2 linked regions of the Nothobranchius furzeri genome follow. Each later gene encodes a partner of the first gene's protein in a complex. Links are inferred from orthologs where the notes say so. Each region holds a gene or a part of one and is shown in the gene's direction. Other genes may lie near its edges.

Region 1 (5,307 bases):
CTAATGACTGAATTTTGTAGAATCAGATCTGGTGGTTTTGTTGCCATCTCCTCTGACATATAAAATGTCTGATCACCATTTTTAGGTAACAAAATAATTAATTTAAGAGGAATCTCTGCTTAAACCTATTAGACAACTCATCTGAATGACGAGATGGAGCACTGTTTTGTATTTTAATGCCATTTTAGCATAAAAACATTTCATCACACATTTTCCACTGAGTACGTTTATTTTATTTAGATGTCATTTTAGACGTGTCAGTGATTTAACCTCATAAGAAAAGCTGGCCATCGAAAAGAGAGCTTACAAAGATTATACCAAATGCTTTTTATTCTTCTCAAAGACAACTCTCACAAGTTCTGCTCCTTTGGCTTCAGCAAATAAGAGCGAGAAAGTGTTTATAATATGGAAGCTGCAGAATGCAACTGGGATGCCTTGTTGGGAATCACTTCAGGGTTTTGTTTTGTTTAATTTGGGCTGACAACACTCTTGAGAATATCGCAGAACACAGTCCAGTCCTAAGTGCTAATTCATTGAGGGCTGATTTATCAGTCATTTGAGAAGGGGTTGATTAAATAATGGCTCCACTAAATCAATTTAATCAAGGTTTAAATAAGGATTGATTTTACTAAATAATCATCGACTCACTGCTTACGACAACGGCTTCAGAGGAGCTCATAACTGTAGCCTCAGAGCCTGAGAGAGAAAAGACTTTGGCGCTGTTTGGAAAAGTTACCTCGTTGAAGGGAATCTTGTTGTTTTTAATCTTTTGGGGCAAACTCTTCCATGTTTTCCCAAAGAAGTGCTGATGCTTCCTATCAAACAGTGTCGCCCGTAGCTGGAAGGTCACATCTTCTCCCGCCGACACTTCCTGTGACCAAAAAGAGAAGATCTGGTAAAAGTTGCCCTAACCACTATAAACATGTATTTGAGTTTAAAACATAAACACTTTGCTTAACATGATCAGCTTTTATTTATATTTTAGTTCAAGCGGCAAACTCACCAATACAAAAGCACCTAAACAAAGAATGCATTCATAATTTGACATAATAGAAGTGCTATGTAAACACTGGGTCACCTTAGCTATAAAACCTTCACATAAACAAATTTAAACAAAACGAAATACTGAATTTATTTGTGCTTTATTATGTAACGGATAACTTGGTATGTGAGGTTTGCTGAAACCCGGACCATGAACCGGACCATTACTGTGTGAGCGGTGATTAACCTGCGGGAGATGAGCTGTTGTCAGGCGGTTGAGGCGGAGCTGGAAGCCCCGGGACGTGGTGGAGTGGTTCTCCACAGCCAGTCGGACTGCCTGGCTGCACGGGGGAACAAACCGGTTTCTCATAAACACATCTTCCCAGCCGTCCTCGGTGCTGGAATTGTCTTCTGTTTCAACCATATTCTCCAGATAAAACAAAACTAAATCAATAAAAAGGAAGGGAATAATAAAAACCAAGAAAGAACGAGTTAAAGTACGTTGTTTTTGCCATATATTTGGATTTTCAACCATTCGACCGCCATGTTGAATTTGGGTTGTACGATTCAGTTAGGAGGGGGGGCCGACAAATCTTTGGTTTAAGTAAACGCTTTAGCAAGAAAACGAAAACGTGCGTAGCGTTAGTTATCCATACGCCTCTGTACTTTTTACAAACAATTTGTAAAACCATAGATATAAGGTTTTAAAGAATCTGTACAATAGCTGTTGTGAATTAATTAAACCTGCGATTTGGTATGTTCCAGGGTGCAGCATCAGTTGCTATGGTAATATTCGGAAGTCAAACTACACGATGGTGTTGCACGTAAAATCACAAATATGTTACTTATTGTCAATATTTTTCAAATAGTTTTATTTTTTATTTTTTGCCCTTTCGGATGATTACCTGATTTTTTTTAACCAAATGAATCAAATTATTAAAATATTTGGCTAATATCTGAACTAAAACGCTTATTTTAAAATCCTCAGTGATGTTACTAAATTTATAAATCTCACTGGAATGTTTCAAAAGGCAAGAACGTACTTCTAGAAGTCGTTTTTTCTAATTATTATTAAAATTTGGTTTGTGTCATATTTATTTATACAAACCACCACTAGAGGACAGCAAAGCGCCGCCGCTGACTCGTTAGGACCAAAGAGAAAGAAAAAACAACAACGGAAGCGGTATATACAAACTATAAACAATCATGTTTGGGGTCTCTGGGAAAAACAAACCTGTGAAAATTAGAGGTTTCGGTGGAAACCTGAAATACGGCATTGCAGCGAAAGATCTAAAGGAGCTGCTTAAAAAGGGCTGCAATTTATTACAGGTGGGTCGCTTGTTCCCTTTTATGCTTCTGCAAGTACGTGAAAAATAAAAAGAGTAACGTTTTAAATAGGTAGTTACACGTTACAATTTACCCTATTATTAGGTCATGGGCAGGTTATTTAGACACTAATTCGTTTAAATTAATTTAATGCTTGCAGACAGTTCTGAATCAGACCAGGAAGTGAAACCCTCAGCGCAAAGTGCAGAAAATAATGAAAACGTCCCAAAATAGGTCTTAACTTTGACTTATATAATAACTATGTTATTTTGTCTCAGAATTGAAATTATTTACAGATTAGAAACTCAGTTATCTCAAAAGGAAATTAACTAAGGAGTTTTTGTGCTTTTTGGGTCAGAAATTAATCGTTTTTAATTTAGTATACCTATACAGAACCAGAAAACATGGCTCCTGTGGTTTGTGTCCTGTCCTTTAGTACTTCTGTTTCACACAGAGGGATGCATATGGGCATAAAATACTATTATGAAGGTTGTAAATAAGGTCAAAGCAGAAAAAAGTATATTTTAAGGAAATTGTTGCATGCAGTTAAGTTGAATACCATTTCTATGTTCTCCACCGTTCCAGCTGCCGCTCTCTGGTGCTCGTGTTTGTTTATACGAGGATGGGACAATAGTGACCGAGGAGTTCTTCTCCACCCTGCCAGATAACAGTGAATTAGTTCTTCTGTCAAAACAGCAGACGTGGACAGGAGGTGCTTAATTATTTTCCTCTGATTTTTATTTTGCCGTGTCCTGATCACCCTCTTGCTTTTGTTCTAGTCATGTGTGACATCGGTCAGTTACTGAACACAGACAGACATGCTGATGCCCTGATCCAAGCCGCAAAAGGACTTCTGTCTGATGAAAACTCTTCAAAGAGACGTAAAATCCTGAGTGACCTGCTGCAGAACCTGGAGGACAGGTCTGAGCTGGAGAGCAGAGAGGAGGATGCAGACTGGTTCAGTGGTACAGTCATTAGGTCTACGAGACAATCGTCATTTAGACATTTTTATTTGTTGTTTTAAGTTAATACGTGGACTCTGGCTGTGAAATAATGCGATTATTTCTCAAACGATTGTTAAAAAAGTAACTTTTTCTGTGGTTTTGCAGAACATTTACATGAGACTTAAACATTTAGCTGAACTTTGTTTTTTGATCATTTCTTTAGGTGTTGACACTCGATTCAAAACAAAATCTGCCTACATGAAGTTCAACTGTGAAAGCAGGATACGGGGCTACATGAAAGAGGTCGACTTCTGCAGATTTTACCTCGTTTGTTGTGCGTTTGATATTCAGTGTTACCTTCTGCCATGGACGTAATTTTCACTTGAGAAGTGGGGGGGGCACGGGGGGGGGGGGGGATCTTTACAGTATACTCTAATGGTAAACAGGTTTCAACACAAACGGCTGTTTTACGCTTGGTCTTAAGAGCTCAACCAGTGTCAATTTAATATAGCGTAATATTGTTTTTGGATGGTAAAAGGTGCAGGGGTCAAAACTTGATTTTGGAAAAGGTCGGGGGGACATGTCCCCCCGTCCCCCCCCCAAAATTACGTCCATGCCTTCTGCCTTTTTATTAGCTGGACGATGCAACCAGATCCATACAGAAAGCCAAAGTCAAGGCAGAGTTTTTAAAAGCATCCAAGTGCCTGTTGGAGATGCTGAAAAGCGCCAGGTACAACGGCAGCTACTTCGATAGGACCGAAAAGGAGCCGGAGCGCCTCTGCACTCGTGAAGGATGGTTCACCTGCCAGGTGACAAGTTCAAAGAGTCACGTTTGAATTAAGGACTCGTCATGCTGTTGGGAAAGAAATGGATCTTCATCCTTCCTCTTCGGTCTCCTCAGGGATCATTTGACGTGAAGCTGTGCCAGTCGCTCCACTCCATCAACCCCTACGGCAGCCGGGAGAGCAGGATCGTCTTCAGCACTTGGAACCTTGACCACAGGTCAACATTTACCGCTGAAACCACATTTTAATGCTTTTCTTCTTTACAATAACCTGTGATGCTCGCGTGTTTGCTTTCTCAGAATTGAGAAGAGGAGGACAATTATACCCAGTCTGCTGGAAGCTCTGCAGAATCACAGCAGCTCTGACATCAACCTGAACTACTTCTACCTGATGCTGTTCACCAGGGAAAACCTGAAACTGGTCCACATCGTCTGCCACAAGAAGGGAGCTCACAATCTGTCCTGTGACACAAAAAAGATCTATCGGACCGCTGCCCATGCAGACAGAGCTAAACAAAAACCCAAAGAGAAGAAAAGACGCTTGATTTAAACCAGAACACGTTTTTAATCTGTTCAAGCCGTCAGATCAAATCAACAAGTCATCCAGAAATCACGTGAAACAGCAGAGCGTTCTGTAAAAAAGCACTTAAACGTTGTAATCATGGAATACATTTATATCTAGCCCACACTGGCACAGAGACGTGGAATATACGGACGGATTATGAAGGCTGCTTGACGAGTAAGACATTCAGTCAGTCAAAGCTGCATACTTTTGACAATGTATCTATAAATAAGGCAGTACATTATATACAAGATGTTATCACCAGAACAATCAGCTATATACAAAATACAACAGGCTGGACCAGTGCAACTGCTGGACAGCTTGTCAGGGTTTAATCAGGTTTGTTAGCGACAGATTACTCGAAAACTAGATTTTTAAATCGATCTTTTTTATCTGATACTTTATATATTTTTCTCTATAAACAAACATGTCATTGAAAATTAGCTGCACAGATGTTTTTACAGATGTTTCTGCCAAAAACCTTTGAGGATGGAGTTTAGACACTTGGTGAACAATGTTTGGCCAAAACATCTGATTTTTCAAAATAAAAGCTTCTTTTACAGATGTTCTCATTGCTTCCTCGTCACATTCACGTCGTCTGGAATCAGGTAGTTAAACGTTAACAAGCACTTGGTGTGTTTTTAACTTATTTGGAACAAATGACCCATTTTGACCATTTTAGTTTCTTAGGATCTTAAACTGAACTTTAA
Region 2 (4,895 bases), about 5.0 Mb from region 1:
GGAGAAAAAAAGGAGAATAAAAAATAAGAAAAATGAATAAACAAGAAAACATAAATCCTGAATAGATTTTAAAAATGCTGATTATACCACAAGTAATGAATACCACTGATGCCTTTTATTTAAAACGGACTTGCTCGTGTGTAATTTGGTTATTCTACATTCAGTGTTAATGCAGAAATAAGTTTGTTTCCAAATTTAAAGGTTCAAAATTGCATATATGTTGATAAAGAAAATGTGCAAATTTGACGTCACTTTTTCAAAAAATATTAAGTTTGGCCCTCGACTCCGTCCCAGAGTTTCATTTCGGCCCCGTGTGAGTTTGAGTTTGACACCCCTGGTTTAAATGGTTATAAATGATCATTTCACACAATTAAATGTGTTTATAGGGAGCTGCTTCATGTATGTGTTGTTTAATCTGTATTTCCAGTCTTTAGTGGATGCTCCTTGCTCTCAACTTGCCTCTGCTTTGGGCTTCCAAGACAAAAAGGCTGAAGAGCTCCAAGAGACACTGCAGAGGACTTTGGATCGAAAAGAGGAAGAGAGGCAGTCCAAAGCTCTGCTCCAGCTGTACGTCAAAGCTGTGGAGAAGGAAGACAGGCTGCAGGAAGGGCCGAGCCATCAAGGTATGACTGTTATTATGTGGTCATGTTTATTTAGTAGTACGCTTTAGAAAATAGTTATTGTAAAAATCTATTTTTTACCACAAATCCACAAAAGTTCTTACAGTCTTTGGCTTTGCTTTAAGACTCTTGTGTATTTTTTTAATGAAGACAATTGAACTATTTTTTTAAATGATTTTAGATACAGCCATTTTCTTAACAGAAACTTAATCTAGGATTTGTTTATTTTTTTTTTTTTTTTTAGTTTTCTGACTGAATCAGTAAAGAATCACAAGCTTATGTGGCTGTTGAATCTCTATAATAAAACTGTTCACTGTTATTTGCTGCTTTCGAAACATTTTTATTTACCGATTGTAATATTAATATGAAATTTAAAAATGTATTTCTGTAGAGATGCAACGATTTTGGTTTTGAGAGTTGAAGCAATTGCAGCGGTAGCAGATCTCCATTTATTTCAGAAAACTATAATAAAAAGGGTGTGTGTGTGTGTGTGTGTGTGTGTGTGTGTGTGTGTGTGTGTGTGTGTGTGTGTGTGTGTGTGTGTGTGTGTGTGTGTGTGTGTGTGTGTGTGTGTGTGTGTGTGTGTGTGTGTGTGTATGTGTGTGTACTACATGCTGAGGACCATTTTCCCTACAATTTGAAGACATTTTCAATTTTTTTGAGTCCTCACTTTTTTTAGAAGCTTACCAGTTGGTTTTAGATCTATGGTGTGAACTAAGTTTTAGTTAAGGTTGGGGTTAGGAGTAGATCAGCATTGGTCAGGGTTAGGGTTAGGGTATGGGTTAGGCACAGTGGAGTCACAAAAATGAATGGAAGTCAGTGGAGGGTCCTCCCTATGATAGAAAGACAGACGTGTGTGTGTGTGTGTGTGTGTGTGTGTGTGTGTGTGTGTGTGTGTGTGTGTGTGTGTGTGTGTGTGTGTGTGTGTGTGTGTGTGTGTTTCTGATTGGTCAATCATCAATTGGGCTATTTATGCTGAAAACTGCTAGCCTGGCAAGCCAGACTAAATAAATGTATTATTTAGTCTGGCCACGCTCCATTGACGGCTCTCGGTTGTGGGGCGGGTTCTACCGTTGTCTTTCAAATGATCTCCGCATTCCACTGGACAAAGAATGTGACATACTCTTGTTTCACTCTGTTGCATCATCCCACCCACCAGGCATATAGAGTGCTCTGATTGGCCCACAAAGCGGACAAAGCTCTGTGATTTGTTCACTAAGCAGATAGAGCACTATGATTGGCCCACGATTACGGACCAATCACAGCTCTTTATGTGTTTGAAATCCCTCTAGAGAGTTGTGATTGGCTAGCCAGAGTCCTGGTAGGAGCTGTTGAGGTTCCAATGGAGCATGCCTAGACCATTCTTTGCAAAGCAAGAATTTGGTCTAGTTCACTAGGCTAGAAAACTGCTCCAGGTAGAGGCAGAAATTAGGAGTAAAAATGTTTTTGTTTTATCTTAAAGTTATATTTATATTTCAAATTTAAATAAATGGATTAATCCAAAAAGGAATAAGATGTAACTTTTCATTTCAATGAAATATTAATTAGGTGAGATCATTCGCTGAATCGTATTGAACATATTTCACGCTTCATTGGTTTTTGGAGTGAACTGCAATTGCACCTTTTGGTCACTAGATGGAATCATTGTTGCTGCTCAGTAATCCCACAACTTTTACGGATTTACAATCATTAATCCCTGAGAGAAAACCTGTTTTCAATATGTCAGGTCCTGTCGACGTGGACGTGCCGGACGGAGTGGAAGTGGACTCTGTTTCTGGATTCATGTCCAGAACTCTGATGGTCCTGAAAGGGAAAACAAGCCCGGAGACCAGACTCTCCACCGAGGATTTGCAGGTGTTTCACTCATCAACGATCCTCGTCACCAATAATAAAGAAGTAGATGAAACTGATTTTAATAGATCTGAGCAGCAATCTTCTGTCAGGACTGGCCTATATTCCATAACGGTCTTACGTCGGTCCTGATGCGAGTCTTACGCTGTGGTTCTCGCCCTCTTCCCACCCCACAGCATCTTAACTGACGTGTTTACAACTAGAAGTACATCACTTCACACCGTTACCATTAAAATACACCCCAAGTGATCTCACACCCTCACCCTCACTTTATGTTTAAATCAATCCTTCAGCATTTCTGTTTGCAAAGACCAAATGTCAGAGTTCTCTTCTGGGTCTGGTTCTGTCAACACTCTTCTATGTACTCAAACACAAGTCGTTACCGGAACCCATCCGCTACCTGCAATTACCTCCAAGTCATTTCTGGTGCTGCTGCAGCCCAACCTGTGATTTAACACAATGTACATGCTTTTAGTTTTACTTGCAGATTTGACCAAAAGCATGATGGGAAATAGATGACTAATGGTCAGGAGTGAGTGACCCGCTGCAGCTCAAACAGGTTATTATCCACCAGGCGGTATGTCAGACGAGCGAACCGTACTTAACGCTGCCCCTGAACATTTCTGCACACACGCTGATGTGGTATGAGTGATCAGTTCTGTGTGTTTGGAGTGTGTTCACACCTGAGCTGTGCACTCGATATCAGACCACCTAACAAAATGTCAGCAAGTCGACGCGTAAATATGAGCTAACGCTGCAAATCACGACACATTTCAAGCTCCTTCTTCTGCAAAGCTCTGATTTATAATTTTCCAACGTTTTAGCATCAGTTTGGAACATGTTCCCCTACTTTTATGAGTCAGATGAAGTCTCACACGTCCCATGTTTCCAGGATTAAAAATATCTCATTTTTCTGCTTAGATGGTCATGTCGAAAGGACCGGAAGTCATGCGGCAGGTGCTGGGCTGGGACTCGGAGAGGACCACTGTGCTGCTGCAGGCCTGCAAAGCAGAACTGTCCACACGCCTGCAGCAGATTCAGGCCATGCAGTCCATCAGCAACACGCAGCTGGATGGCAGCAGACAGCCTAATGCAACAAACACAGAGGAGGCTGCTGAAACTCCAGGGAGCTCCTAGGCCAAGAGGCTTCACCTGAGCCGAGACTGATAAGAATTCATACTACCTGCCTCAGGGTCAGCAGAATGGGATTTGCTGTGTATTACTGCTGCTGTACATTCATTTTGAGATGTTGATATTTTTTTTAAAGCTGCAAAGCTTTTTGAGTGCTTCGAGACGAGGCAAGTTATAGAAATTTATTTCAAGCAAGATGATTTGAACCACTTGGATTGGTGTTCAGCGGGCTTTTATTTGATGTTTGTCGTCTACAGAAGAAAGAATTTATGTAAAACTTAAACCAGCAGGCAGAGAGTTCCGGTGTCCCTTAAGGTGTGAAACATAGCTTTTCTTGGTCCAAAGGTAACAACACTGCAGCCCAGGTTCTCCAGCAAATGCATTCCATCTTTCTTAAGCCAATTCTTTTTATCTAGGTGTGTCAAGTCACTGTTCAAAAATAAAAGTTGAAAATGTGATGTATCCAGGGTCTAATAATCATTTTTAGATGTGCAAACGTCTTATAGTGGAACGTTTGAAAATAGGTGAAAAAGATACCTTAGAGTAGCTGAAAGGGATTTTTGGATATCAAGCAAATGAGATGATTTGGTTTCTTTTGGGAATAATTTGCATGTGATATTAAACTCTAAATTATTCAGGATAGTTTAGGGAAAAGTGAAACATATAAATCAGATTCAAATATCTTATTTCCTGTAAACTTTAAACTCTTGGCAGTTTTCTGTTTCTAAACCGCTATAAACATATTTTTCTGCAGTGTCAATTAGAAAGAGGCACTGTTTTCATTCAAATGTTTCACAGATGCAAACCTCAGGGTGGAAGATGTGTGACTAATAAGGACTTTTGGAAAAAACTCAAAAAAAAAAAACAAGTCACAGCAGGATAATGCTGTTTCTGCACGAGTTCTCTTTAAAACCATCTCTTACATCCCATTATAAAAGTTATGCATCGGTCTGGTGGCTGTGTGATGTCAGACTGATGTGTGCAGGTCCGTGTGACTCACACACGAGGTAGCTTTCTTACACTCTTGAACAAATCAACACAAATGATGGTCTTAAAGAGACAATGTGTCGTTTTTACCATTGATTTCTGAAAAAATCCATCAAAAGCTCGAAAAGTGGTTGCAGTAACCACATTTTACCACAGGATGTCATTTTTACTTCATTTCGACATAGTGCAACTTTAAAATGGGCTTTTCAGTGTTAGGCTTGTTAGCCATTTGTATTTTGTATCCAGTAAGCATGATTACCCAGAGTTTTGTTTTTTTAAGTCAAATTTCTGCCCAGATCCAACAAA

What was found. Proteins that work in one complex are often made in the same cells at the same time.
Region 2: the proteins of dffb (region 1) and dffa are in contact, whole or in part, in an NMR structure (PDB 1F2R), measured with the Mus musculus proteins. The link is inferred for Nothobranchius furzeri from reciprocal best matches to the Homo sapiens genes DFFB and DFFA. Residues at the interface, in NP_031885.3 of Mus musculus: Cys10, Lys12, Arg14, Ala19, Cys20, Lys21, Phe22, Gly23, Val24, Ala25, Ala26, Arg39; in NP_001020467.1 of Mus musculus: Asp66, Thr68, Ile69, Val70, Asp71, Asp72, Asp74, Tyr75, Trp94, Tyr96, Asp100.

What each region holds. Positions count from the first base shown.
Region 1 is NC_091755.1:34,775,643-34,780,949, reverse strand, and holds dffb (DNA fragmentation factor subunit beta), read left to right. Parts: upstream 1-2,120; 5' UTR 2,121-2,187; coding exon 2,188-2,310; intron 2,311-2,892; coding exon 2,893-3,019; intron 3,020-3,086; coding exon 3,087-3,272; intron 3,273-3,474; coding exon 3,475-3,554; intron 3,555-3,886; coding exon 3,887-4,060; intron 4,061-4,152; coding exon 4,153-4,253; intron 4,254-4,335; coding exon 4,336-4,585; 3' UTR 4,586-5,166; downstream 5,167-5,307. Other genes in the region: nphp4 (nephrocystin-4), read right to left, coding at 737-871, 1,229-1,516. UniProt on the Homo sapiens protein: Nuclease that induces DNA fragmentation and chromatin condensation during apoptosis. Degrades naked DNA and induces apoptotic morphology.
Region 2 is NC_091755.1:29,727,510-29,732,404, forward strand, and holds the end of dffa (DNA fragmentation factor subunit alpha), read left to right. Parts: intron 1-427; coding exon 428-623; intron 624-2,346; coding exon 2,347-2,474; intron 2,475-3,392; coding exon 3,393-3,608; 3' UTR 3,609-4,064; downstream 4,065-4,895. UniProt on the Homo sapiens protein: Inhibitor of the caspase-activated DNase (DFF40).